Tribolium castaneum: one gene and its partners. The protein of the gene in region 3 interacts with the protein of the main gene of each other region in a pairwise test. Links are inferred from orthologs where the notes say so. Each region holds a gene or a part of one and is shown on either strand. Other genes may lie near its edges.

The links. The genes of interacting proteins can lie anywhere in the genome.
Region 1: the proteins of 14-3-3zeta (region 3) and Slob interact in binary tests that used the Drosophila melanogaster proteins (3 or more experiments, as listed by UniProt). The link is inferred for Tribolium castaneum from reciprocal best matches to the Drosophila melanogaster genes 14-3-3zeta and Slob.
Region 2: the proteins of 14-3-3zeta (region 3) and sau interact in binary tests that used the Drosophila melanogaster proteins (3 or more experiments, as listed by UniProt). The link is inferred for Tribolium castaneum from reciprocal best matches to the Drosophila melanogaster genes 14-3-3zeta and sau.

The regions. Positions count from the first base shown.
Region 1 is NC_087399.1:3,728,630-3,733,272, forward strand, and holds the start of Slob (slowpoke-binding protein), read right to left. Parts: upstream 2,831-4,643; 5' UTR 2,664-2,830; coding exon 2,374-2,663; intron 2,301-2,373; coding exon 2,115-2,300; intron 1-2,114. UniProt on the Drosophila melanogaster protein: Regulator of calcium-activated channel Slo. Increases or decreases the voltage sensitivity of Slo, depending on the absence or presence of 14-3-3-zeta in the complex, respectively.
Region 2 is NC_087403.1:8,423,641-8,428,059, forward strand, and holds the start of sau (Golgi phosphoprotein 3 homolog sauron), read right to left. Parts: upstream 2,831-4,419; coding exon 2,645-2,830; intron 2,593-2,644; coding exon 2,346-2,592; intron 2,290-2,345; coding exon 2,114-2,289; intron 359-2,113; coding exon 110-358; 3' UTR 1-109. Other genes in the region: tRNA pseudouridine synthase Pus10, read left to right, coding at 3,277-3,390, 3,436-3,670, 3,717-3,853, 3,905-4,230, 4,277-4,419. UniProt on the Drosophila melanogaster protein: Phosphatidylinositol-4-phosphate-binding protein that links Golgi membranes to the cytoskeleton and may participate in the tensile force required for vesicle budding from the Golgi.
Region 3 is NC_087403.1:7,751,899-7,756,232, forward strand, and holds the start of 14-3-3zeta (14-3-3 protein zeta), read right to left. Parts: upstream 3,012-4,334; 5' UTR 2,853-3,011; intron 2,757-2,852; exon of another isoform or gene 2,598-2,756; intron 2,365-2,597; exon of another isoform or gene 2,055-2,364; intron 1,983-2,054; 5' UTR 1,965-1,982; coding exon 1,662-1,964; intron 1,489-1,661; coding exon 1,365-1,488; intron 1,149-1,364; coding exon of another isoform or gene 985-1,148; intron 839-984; coding exon 675-838; intron 509-674; coding exon 392-508; intron 327-391; coding exon 288-326; 3' UTR 1-287. UniProt on the Drosophila melanogaster protein: Required in Raf-dependent cell proliferation and photoreceptor differentiation during eye development. Acts upstream of Raf and downstream of Ras, and is essential for viability.

The DNA.
Region 1 (4,643 bases), on a different chromosome or scaffold from region 3:
ACTAAAGTAACTAATTATATGATTTTTAATGTAATTAAATGAATGAAAATGAATATCATAACTACTGCTAATTTTGTTAAAATTACTACACATTACATATAAAGGTGATTTTAATAGAACATTCGTATTACAACTGCAACTGTAAAAAGTCATGGGATGTCGTGAGTTAATTCTAGGAACCAGAAAAATTATCTTATTAACAAGAGCAATACAGACAATCTTGTTGTTTAGTAATTTATGTAAAAATGCAATACTTGAGATAATTCTCCTAACTTCTAGAGAATTGATATTAAATGTCCTTAAAAGCACTAGTTGGTCACATCTCCTATCGGGGTAATTTTTAAAAGAAATATACCATAGCAGTATTCAAAAATTTTCTTTGGACTGATTCAATACTATTTATGTGTGTGGCATATATAGGTGACCAAATAATTGCACAATATTCTAACTTGGAGCGTACAAGGGCAAAAAATAAGACTTTTAAGGCTCTTAAATTAGTAATAGTAGTTTTATACGCGCTATTAATAATATTTGTAATATGATTCACAAATAAAAGTTTGTTATCAAAGGTAACTCCTAGATCTTTAAATGTGTCTGTTCTTTGTAAAATGTGACCACTAACATTATAACTATACATGATCGGAATTTTCCTATTTGTGTAAGACATAACAAAGCATTTAGGTATATTTAGGTTTAGCCTATTAGCTTCGCACCACTGGAGGAGATTGTTGATGTTATTCTGCAAGACTTGACAATCATTACCGGTTTTTATGATATTATAAAGCTTAAGGTCATCAGCAAATAGAAGACTGTTACAAGTTACTGCTACAGTAATATCGTTTATAAATAATAGAAAAAGTAAAGGACATACAAACTATGAAAAACAAATTTCAGTTCGTCTTAAACTCTCGAGTTGTGAACACAAGCGAATTATGGAAAGTGTTAAACTGCCCGCCATTTTAACAAACGATGTTTTCGAAGTTATATCCTCTTCAGAAAATAAAATTACAGCAAAATGTTTATTATGTGTTGGTGCTAATAAAACTTATAGTGAATTACCGAAAGCCACATCGAACTTTTTGACTCAGTATTTAATTATCCTACTTATTTATTTTTTTCTTATAAGGAATGAACTGAGTTTTTCATACCTAACAATATTTGTTAAATTTCGATTTAAAATCGCAGTGACTAAGAACTTATTCATAATTTATCTGCAAAGCAATTAATCAGAGTTTTTTTTACAGAGAAAGCATCCAGAACGAATGTCTACCATTGATGAAGTTACAAGAAAATGTTCAATTAAATTAGATAGTATTAAGAACATGTAAATAATTTTGTATTGGTATTGATGTATGATTGTACAAGTGCAGATTACGGGAAAAATGTTGAAAAAATTCCTAAAGTCATATTTTAAAAAATCTGGAGCTACAAACTTATTTTGCTAACTTCTTCAGTTTTTATTATTTTTTAATGTTTTTATGTTTCACACTAAGTAATCGTTTCCTAACACAACGATGAATAACTATTTTTAAATTTCACATCAGACTTTAGCAGTTTTTTTAATTAAAAAAAATAAAATTCATTAAAAAAATCACAGTTTGTAGATGTGCCAACGCTGGGAATTATTTCCTAGGAAACCGTTTCAAAAATAATTTATTTTTATTGTTGATCAAATTCTATTGCGATCACAACTGTTAGACAACGTTGCCACATATCATTTATTTAAAATTCGTTATTTATCAATAACTTTAATGCAAATGTAAAAAAAAAATTTTTTTACTATCTTTACCTTTATATGTAAGCAATTCTTTACCACACTCCATTGAGTTGGTGCGCCAGTTTTTGAACACCCGGTATATCGTGACTGTATGCTCTACTGACTATTTTCCCGAAAGAAAATGTAAATAAACACTTTTTTTAATGTTAGTGTTTATACTTGACTATCCTTAAATTCAAAATCCCCACTAAGTATTTAAACACTTTTAAATACATTACTAATGTAGTTGTATTTGGAATTAAATACATTTTCAAAAATTGTATTTGAATTACATTTAATTACTTTGCCAAAAAAGTATTTGTATTTGTATTTAAATACTTCTGAAAATAATTTATACCAATGCTTGTCTGTCCTCGACCCGATCTCCCCCAACTGCGTCTTCAGCTCGTACCGCTCATTGTTCGTAAGATAGTGCTTACAAGCCATAAAAACCCCATTCCTTATCTGCTGCTCGGCCCGGAACTTCTCATTCCCTCCCTCGGTTTTCAAGGCGCTGTATTCGTGCTTGGGGGCCCCGGACGACCTGAAATCCGGTTAAAAATAAGTCCCGAGTGGGAGCATCTCAATTTTTAATTCAAACTATCGATAATCTATACCGGCGGGAGAAAAACACTCTCGCGAACGATTCCGTTCTTTGGGGAGTTACTTTTCCATCGTCGCTGCGATTTTCCGAACTCTGGCAGCGGTTTCGGAAAGCCGCACGTTTGTTGGCGGCGTTTAAGGCCCCCGTGGAAAACTCCGAAGCGCTGTGAGAGCGATGCGGCACGCGCTTCTTGCGGCGCGAACCCGAACGGGAAGTTCGCTCCTGGTAGAACCTTTCGTGACCGATCACTTGAGGCTCTTTCTCCTCCTCTTTCTTATTTATGCTCTGGTAAAGGTTGAACATGCTGGCGGGAGCCAAGAGGCCTTGCGACTGAAGCCCGGCGATTTTCTAAGGCTTTAATGCTGTTAGGGGCTGAGAGGATTCGCGGTAATGCGGCTAAATGGATTCAAAACAAACTGAATTCCTTCCATCTAGTTAACTTTGAATTTGGTGTACATGCAAAAAAGGTGCCGCTCTGCTCACATGAATCCTCTGTCAATAAACGTCAAAAGTGACAGTTGGAAATTCACAAATTGTCAATTAATTAATTTTAAAAATTTCGTTAAAATGCAACTGAATTTTATTTATACTTTTATTGTCGAAGCTTATTTGATGGAGAAAGGTAATATTTGGTGTCATTAATTATGTAAAGCGGCATTTAGACGACCAGATGACAATCATTTAAAAACACATTGTAGTTTGTTTAATTTAGTTATTTAATTAGCGACTGAAAAATGATTATCCTTTGTTCTTTTGTTGTCAAGGATTATGTATGACAACACATTATGGCACTCCATAAAAAAGCATTTATCACTTAACTATTCTCCCGTCATAATTTTACAGCGGAAAAATAAAATCGAATTTTCCCAACTTCTCGCGTTATTTAACGAGGCCGTAACTCCCCAAACAAGTTAAGAACTTCATTGAGCCCAAAATCAATTCTAATCTAATAACTCACCTGCATTTCCTAATCCAAAACACCGCTAGCGCCAAAGCTCCTAAACCTAGCACGACTAACGAGGCCGAAACCTTGTGAAAATTCCATTAACCAAAAGTTAAAAAATTTCGTTTGCAAAACTTACCCACGGATGGGTGTTGGAGGTATGCTGCGGCTTCCTGGACACCACTTTCATCTTTCATGTTTTAAGAGAATAGAGGTTTGTGGTTGGGAGAAAAAGCTACATGTCGCCAGCAACAGGATTCTGATAAAAGCTTGTGTTAACGACGAAAATGAATTACACAAAAGCTCACTTGGCGAATCTAACACCGGAACTGAAATAAACGCCTGAAAGCACGCAAATTGCAAACACGCATGGTATCACTATTGCCGTGAATTGGAATCAGTCGATAAACAAGAGGTGGACGCGTGCGTATTGCTGAGGGTTGTGGGATCAGACGCGCGGGAATTCGGGACAGGGAAACTACAGACGGGTGAAAACTGGGTCACAGTCGCGAATGACGTCACGGGATCGGGAAAGTGGAAGTTTAAAGGGGTTGCCTTGTTGCGGCAAATGGAGTGACGCAGTTAGCGGGCATTGTTTTGTTTAATTGCGACGGGTTTATGACACGCAAAGACGGCTTTCAGGCGCAATTTTGCTTTAATGGAGACATTTAGAAGTCTATTTCAGTTTTCATCAGTTTATTATCACCCTGTTTTAACAATAAGATAAAAGGTTTTTACCAGTTTCAAGTGGTTTTATTTCTCCCGGCGCATCCACCATTTTTCAATTTAATAGATTTCGTAAATTCATAATGCAAGATTGAAAAAAAATATTTTTTAATAGACAATGGTAATGAATCAGAATCTGAAAATAAAATTAAACAATTCTGAGTATAGTCTGTACACAATAAATTTCCAAACTAAACAAAAAATCATGATATACATAAGCTATGTTATGGTAACTTTTGTTGTGAATTTTTTGCATCTTTTTTAAAGTTATCAAGAAAATTATATCTCATTTGGATTGACTGTTGACGTGATGCATCAGATGATTTTCATTGTTTGTGATGGCATAGAATTACAATAAAATTTATACTATCTAGTTTATTTAATTTCCATTTCTTTTAATATTTTTTTTTCTAATTTAATTTTTTTATATGTTTTTAAACTAAATACAATATGAAATTTGATAAAAGGGATTTAAAAAAAACATTTTTTTATGTTTTATTTATTCCTTTTATAACAGAACAATCGGGAGTTCGCTGAAAAAAAGTCTACAGACATTATTTACGTATTTAGAAATAAAATGAGTGTCACTTGCTTTGAATGTGTTTTTTTACCAA
Region 2 (4,419 bases), about 670 kb from region 3:
AAAATTTCCAATGTACAAACTAACATCACATTAAATACAAAACTGATAACTTCAATATTTCAACGTAATTTATTTATAGTTAAAATTTAGTAGCAAAAACAGTTTATTTTCATTTCGTGAAAGCGGCGAAAACGGCCCACAGTACCTCCGAAGTGTTTGGTTTGACTGATTCTTGCTCAAAGTCCAAGTCAAGTAACTCTCGTACTCGCTTTATTGCCAATTCGTAGTCGTCGTCATTTAGGGGCGCAAAAGCGTTCTCCAGAACGTCACTAGCATGGGCCAGGAAAATCAACGCCAACATCCGCTTGTCCATGCGCTGGGGGTCGTTCACCCACTTCGTAAGTACGGCATCCTGGATCTGAAAAAGCGGTTTTTTACCCCAAGCCCTCCGCCAGAAATTCAGACACACTTTGCTTAAATTCAAAATAACAAAGTATTTCCCGATCTCTAAAGGGCAAACAATAGTTAACTTGCTTTGCTGCCGAACCAGCTGAAATTTTGCATACATACGTAACCTCCGTGCTATTTAGTTTAATAAGTTAGTTAATTCTGTTAGGATTTTTTAAGACGAAACCAAACCCTTTTTTCCCACAGGAACTAACATATTAACAAGCTAAAATTCATACATACGTAATTTTGTGACATTACAATAATATATACATTATTTAATAATTTGTAAATAATTAACAATTGTAATTAATTTATCAATATCCTGGCCTTTAGTTGAAAAATGGGAATGGGACCAAATCAATTCCAAGTAAAAACACAGTACCCAAAAAATTTTTTGATGAGTTTTTTACATATTTAGCATTATTTTTACGCTTAGGTTCATTTAAATACTTATTAGCAATTCTTTTTCTAAATGAATAAACACTAACTGTAATAAAACATTCCTTTTCCCAAGGTAAAACACCGTATCTACAAAATGTCTTAGAGACAGTCAATCGTAGTCCATTTGTTTACGTAAAAATAACTCATATAGGTGTAAAAAAGAATACATTTATACAATAATATAACTTTTAATCGAACTTTTAGTTTATTATTGGCAATCTATTTTGCTTATTTAAAGCACACAGCAGCACGTTTCTTAAAGTGTCCATGGCAACATTAATAACATAATAACCCAAGAAAAGTGAAAATAAATACTAACTTTTTTAACATTTTTTATTAAAATGATAATCAATTCCATGGCAACGAAAGGTAAACTGATCTCACATTACATTATTTTCAATATTTGTAATATCAATATTTATGATTTCAAAGTGTACCAATAAAAAAACTAACGTAAAGTATTCATGTATAACTCTTTTACGAGCACTCCGGCTACGCCGTCGTGCTCGACAAATCCTGCATATTTTAAATACCTCAATATCCACTTATACTTTAATATCACGTTGTTTTAGATAATTTAATACTCACGTCTTAAACTGTCCTAAAAAAACGATATTTTTAAGTTAAACAATATGAGTAAAGAGTTAGTCATTCAAAGAGGCCGGTTAAATAAGTATTTTTTGGTCTACTGAAAGATTAAAAGCAGATACTGCATTTTAGTTCAAGGCAGTCGAATTAGAGACTAGTATTTTCCAAATATTTGTTATGCACAATCGGTGTCGAATATAATTTACACCAGAGAGTGTAAATAAATACAATAAACTATTCAATAAATAGGAAAAAATAAAGAAAAGGTGAAGAATAAGTTTTTTCTCAGAAACATACATTTGTGCTTATATCTTACAATTTTAAAATTTATAAAAGCTTTGGGAAGGAGTATTGCATAATTACCTCAGTTACACTCTTTCAAAGCTTTTACAAATTTTAAAAACTTAAACTATAAGCAAAAATGATATTTTCTATATACGACGATATAGACTACCCAGAAAACTTAACTAAAAAAAGTGAAGATTTTGAAAGTTGTGGACATAAATACACTTAATTATGTAAAAACGTAACGAAAACAAAAAAATAGAAATGAAGACAATGTAATTAGGGAATAATTCGCAAGTGTAAGTCGTATACTCTTCTTAGTACTTTACCTGCCTATCGTTAAAGTTCTACTTGATCTACTATTTAGTAGAACGGGGCACCCTTTACCACCTGCTGTATCAAAACGTACCTTTTTTATTAAACGGCTTTTGGTGACGTTATCGGTCAGAGGGTGCGTGGTCATATCAAACAGCAGAAAGTTTTGCTTCTCCGTTGTGAGAACCCCCTTCTCGACGAGGTTTTTCGCTAGGCGTTCCCGCACGTTCTTCAGCTGGTAGCGCAGTTTGAGGGGGTTCCAAGTTTCGCCTTAAAAGCACGCAATTAAGTGAACCTGGGGGCAGAAAGGGGCATTTGGAGCATACCGCTGAGGTACTCAATCCAGCTTTGAACCGTTTCTGGTGGATCTGTTTCCTTGAGATGTTTTAAAGCTTCATCTAGGAGGACGTCTCCGGTAGGTGTGTCGTTTTTGAGGATAAGTTTGCGGGTGAGGAGCGCCTTTCGGCGCATACCAGCCCGCTCGAGTTCCACACGTCCACGTAAACCTAACTCGATTAGAATACACCCCCGGAGACCGCTCGAAATGCAGTCGTTCCAAAACGATGTGTAACCCTTAAAAACGACACGGTTAGGTGTGGTGAGCACACGGGGGGCGAAGCCCTACTTCTTTGTCTTTTAAGCCTAATAATAATACTTCTTCCATTAAAGTTAATCGGGTTTCTTTGGAATCGCCCTCGTCTATGTCTTCGTCGTGCTCCTGCTTCTTCTCATTGTTCTGCGATTCTTTCACACCTTCACCTGAGTCACGTATTATGTTTCGTCTTTGCACCAGCCCTTCACTCCGATTCATTTTAATTAAATATCAAATAACTTATTTATTTTCTACAAGACTTGACGTTTAACTGACTTCCATCAACATGGCAAATGTCAAAAGCATGTAGGCTGCTGGCAGAAAACCACTCCGTCCGAAAAATCGACAAATTCGCTCACTTTCTAAGAAAATTATTCATTTCTAGTATTTAACAAACTAAACTAACCCTTCAAGCCTTTTTTTTGGATAAAAAATCAAAAATCGGGAAAAAGTGATTACGTCCTACGATTACGTCACGCTCTTATCAATTCCAATTTAATCCCTTTGTACAGAAAATCTAACAATGCCAAGTAATCAGCACCCACAATTTTTATGATTTCCCCACCACGGGATTTTTTCAAGTTTGGAAAAAATTGTTGTCGAATGGGTTGCATAACCCACCGTTTTTAACCTCACTTTTTGCCACCACATTATTTTATTTAAAAATGACCGAAAGTGATAAAGCCGAAGTTTTCAATTTTTTATTGGAGACTGGGTGTTGCAAAAGGTGCGCTTTACGCTACGTTGGCGATAACACAGCCGATTATGATAATCCACAGGTAAAAAAAAGTCGTATTTTCAACAATTAAAGGTTTTTTTTGTAGCAAAACGGACACGACCAGTTGGCGAAAAAGACGAAATTGAATTCGTGCATAATTTGTCTCGATTTGCTCCAAGATGTGACTCTTGAATCCATGGTTCAGTGTGAAGAACTGGAGGGTGTTAAGGAGTACGATTGCAAGACTTTTATTAATTTCATTAGTTTTCCGGTTGCTGTTCTAATAAGGGAACACAGCATGGAGATTCATATGAATGAGAAGTTCCCCAAGTTTTTTGAAGGTTGTTTGGTTTGCTTGTTGAAATAGTTGAAATGCTTACATTTCAGATCGTAACATTGTTCCAATAAACAGGGCATGGTCCTTGTCAATACAAAACAAACTGGGCGAAAAACTTGGCAAAAAGTTCAATAAAGATTCATTGCTCCAAATCCAGTTTAACACGACTTATGAATTTGAAAAAGAGGTAACGAAAGGACTAACCACTGCTTGTTTAAAAATTAATAAGTTGTATTAGGAGTCGTCAATTATGTTTCTGATGGAAAGTAGACTGAAAAAATCAAATGGACAAAACGAGGGTCTTAGTCGTAACGTAATCGGGGAGTTTTTAAAGACAATAAACACCGAACTTTTCAAAAAACATGCCGCTGTCCCTCCGGAACCGCCCGGGAAAGCTTTAAGTTTCGACCAAGTGGCTTACAAGCACGATTATATTTTTATAGCCGGAAGGTACTGTAAATATTCAAGAAACCTGTTTCAAACACCGTGGGCCAACGACGAAGTCCAAGTAATCAACAGTTCAGTTCAAGAAATTTTATTTAAGTCGCTGGAAAGCGTCTTTAAGTGAGTTTCATCCCTAGTTTTTGTTGTCGTAATTGTGTAACTCCAGATGCAGCAGTTTGGTGTTTTCGTCAAGTGGTCGTGAGGATTTTGACGTACGAATGCTAGGAAGAGGCCGTCCGTTTTTCGTAAAAATATGTGACCCCAAAGTCACCACAATACCATTTGAACAATTCCGCCTGATTGAGAAAC
Region 3 (4,334 bases):
GAGAAAATGCCAAAATACACTGAACCACACAACTTCCGGTAAATTTGAATCAATGATGATTTTTTGAATTAAAAACTTAATTGTGGCTGACATTGTTTTGGTTGTGTGAAAATGTAATTAAATTTTAACGATTTACACATCTCCTAAAAACATTGTTAAATATCAAGTTTCATCAGGTGAAACTTTGCTTAAAACTGTCAATGAAATTTCACAACCAAGTTCCACGAATACGTTAACTTACATGAAACTTCATTTTTAACGAATAATTTTAAAACGGACGCCACACTTCAATTATCACCAGTCTCTTGAGGCTCATCCGCTTCGCCCTGTAACACACAACCCCAACAGGACATTAGAAATTTTCAATTCTTCTAACGATTGATCAACGTACCTGCGTGTCACTTGTCCAGAGTGTGAGGTTGTCTCGGAGGAGCTGCATTATGAGAGTGCTGTCCTTGTAAGAGTCTTCATTTAAGGTATCGAGTTCTGCTATTGCGTCATCGAAGGCCTAAATCGACATTTTGAGTGTCAATACTTTTATAGAAGTACGATTGTAACACACTACTCGGTTATTTAGTTAAGTTAGTATTGCAGGCTGAATTACATGTGGTAAGTGTTAATTCAACCGGTTAATCAGAATGTAAAAAACACACTAATAGTAACACATTTATAACCTGTTTTGCGAGATGACAGGCTCGTGCTGGAGAATTAATAATTTCATAATAAAACACCGAGAAATTTAAGGCAAGTCCCAGCCTAATCGGGTGTGTCGATTGCATTTTCGATTTAGCAATATCGAATGCTTCTTGATACGCCTTTTGTGAATCCTCCACCACTTCTATCAATAAAAATCGAACAATTATTAAACTGTCAGTCGAACAAACTTCAAAGTAAAAACAACAAATATTCAAAAAAAAACAGATCCACCACATGTAATTCCGCCCTTTGCGCTATAGACACTAAGGAAACAAAATTTATATTAACCTGTTTAGCTAACTGACAAGCCTTGTCTGGTGAATTTAATATCTCATAATAGAAAACGGAGAAGTTTAGGGCAAGACCTAATCTGATGGGATGTGTGGGCGTCATTTTTGCCTTTGAGATTTCAAAAGCGTCTTGGTATGCCTTTTGTGAATAATCGACGACGGCTGAAAGCGGGCTATAGTAAATAACAAATCCACATAACAGCCAATAGGGAACTTGGAAAAAAACCGTCGCGATAAATCAATTCCGTTATGTAACAACAATAAAGTGTCAATCACCGTAACTTACCCCACACAAACATAAAATTCGTTGGAAATTAAAACAAGTTCCCCATTGTTGTTTACCCTTGTCTTAAATTCCAACAAGCCAAACACACTCACCGTTTCTTGTGTCTCCTGTGGCTACTTCGGCCAAATACCGGTAGTAATCTCCCTTCATTTTCAAGTAAAAAACTTTTGATTCAGCGTTGCTCGCTTTAGGGATCAAGTATTTGTCAAGAAGACCCTATAATTAAAAACATCCATGTCCTCTCAAATATTTCAAACGCGCCAAGTTCTTTGAAATAAATGCGAAATCAGTTTGATAAAATGTCTTCAAGTATGATTCAGAAGAACGAAAGTTAAATATTTTGACATCATTTGAGTCGGAATGTAGTGGTGAATTTCAAGGGTACTTACGAGGACGTCGTCACAGATCTCCCTTAGTTCCTTTTCGACCTTTTCTCGGTATTCTTTGGCCATCTGCTGTTTGCGTTCTGAGCCCTCAGTCTTTTGTTCAATTGAAGAAATAACTCTCCACGATGACCTCCTGGCACCAACGACATTCTTGTACGCGACAGAAAGGAGGTTTCGTTCTTCATTGCTCAATTCTACTCCGGTTTCTGTGACTGATTTCATAGCCGAAGCCATGTCATCGTACCTTTCGGCCTGTTCTGCGAGTTTTGCCCTCTGCACTAGCTCATCTTTGTCAGGGACAGACATTTTGCTCTAATTCTAAATCTAAACGAGAAAAACTCATGTTATTACATCACAACCGGCAAAAGACACCACCGCACAAACTTAATTTCCCACCTTTTAGCAAAAATCCAATTGTCTAAATTTAGAACGCGGTTTAAGTCAAACGACTTCGCTACTTCCACCCCCTGTGTGTGTCGATAAAATGGTGTAAGAATCTAGCCGGCTCAGATCGACAATATGGCGTCTGCCACACCTTTCCGTGTAATGCGTAGTTAACGGTGGGTTTTTCCCCAAAAACCGAACCGAAAACCCCCCAAAACCGACCATTCAATACCAAAAGCCCGAAATATTCCAATGCCAAAAAACCTAATTGAGTATCGCAAGTGTCACTGCTCTATATTACCACCAGCCGACTGACGTGATACATCCCAAAGGAATTTCGAAAATTTCATACGCCCCGAAACAGTCGCGAAAAGGGGCGACGCAGCCCCCGAGGGGGCTGCGTCGCCTTTCGGCGGAAAAATCGAGTCTGGCGCTGAAGGTCATTGCATGGCGATTTCATTGCACCAAAATGAAGCACGTTGCGGCGCTAATCGGCGGGAATTGGCGCAAAAGGCACGAAAACAGCACTTGTCGTCAATTTCAGGCACAACTTACATTCAAATTCAACAATTTCAGTTAATTTCTCTTTCAGCTTTGGCCGAAGAGTGCACTAGCATACGAGACAAGGACTAGAACACGACTACTGGATCGATGCGGGCTCGCGAACAAACGATAGCGCACAGATTTAATGGCGGCGTTTCAGCGACTCCTCTGACCGGAATTTTCGGCGATTTACGCGCGTTTACAACGATTTCTGGACCAAAACTCTGCACTTTACGCCCCTAGACAATTAAACCTAGTTTTACTCACGTGCTACAAGGGTTGAATACGATTTTTTGATAGAAAAATGGAACGATCCTACCACTAGCGTCCACAACTTAGAAACGAGACGGAGAAACGAGAAGGAACGCTTTTCGCTTCGGTAGAAAAGGATAGCGAGTGGCGCACCAACCGCGAACGATGAAAACCCCTAGATTTGGACAAATTTAAAATTATTATCTTCTACGAGATCACCGGTTTTGTAATACAGTCATGATTCATGGACAATTTTTAATTCTAATTAAGGCGTGTTGGGTACATAACGTACTCGGCCTTCATTCATGGTTCTATTTTCACGTTTCAGGGAAAAACGAGCGTTTTTTGGTCATTACGTTAATTAAACTGTCGATCAGATATGGTCGTTAATTTCATTTCAAACAAATTACGTTTTATTGGTGTGAATTTTAACACACATACACAAAGGTGAAGTGTTTAACGGTAACAAAATAAATAGAGCCAGTGGCGGGGCACACTATCATCTCCTTATCTAATTCATTATTTTCCCTGAATAGAAAAAAATTGTTATTGCGATAAATGTTTTCACAACACCCGTTTGCGCACTTGTAAACTGATCTCTGCGTTGTTTTGTCTAAGTATCAACCAACGAAAAATACCTGGAGTATTTGATACGCCCCTGATTAGATTGTAATTTGCATTTTGCACGTAAAACTATTCAACATTTGTATTAAAATTAACTATAATAAAGTCCGTGTTTGTTCAACTTGTGTAGCATCACACTGTAATGGAAATTTATCTGTGACGACACCAATTTTGTAAAATTTTTATTAATATCGGTGCTTTTTTAAATATTTGAAAATAGCTTTATTAAACACTGACTCATAACTTACACCGCTGGTTACTCATACCTGCAATCACATTTTATTTTAAATACTAACAGAAAAATCGGAAACGATTTAATGTCTATCTGTAATGCTCGAAAATATGAGATTATTTAGTACAATCACGTCTATTTTTAAATCGGGTTTTACGTTTACATGCATACAGGCTGTCCGTTTTGTGAGCTCCACCACAAGGATCTTACTGATCTCACTTACTTATTATAAAAGATAGGAGGTCGGTTACGTTTGAAAAATTATCAGAATTAAAATTTGATGTCATTTTTATCTTTTGAATTATTGGAAAATCGTAAATGTAATTTTCGTTTTTATTTTTACAAGAAATCTAATTCTATCATTGTATTTTTCAGCCGTTCTTGATGACAGAGTTAGAACACTCAACTTTGTTTTTTTATGGAAACCAGATTTGTTTTTTGTATTTTTTAAAAGTTTTTTATTCCTGATTACAATGATGTATCACATGATATCATTAAATCTTACATGCTGATCAAAATGGAGAAAAAAATATTTTTGTTAAAGTGCTTTGGAAAAAACGCCAACAATTTTGTTTTGGGACAAAATAGATTTTGGAAGTTTAATTGAATATGGATCTGAAACGTTTCTATTTCCGTCAACT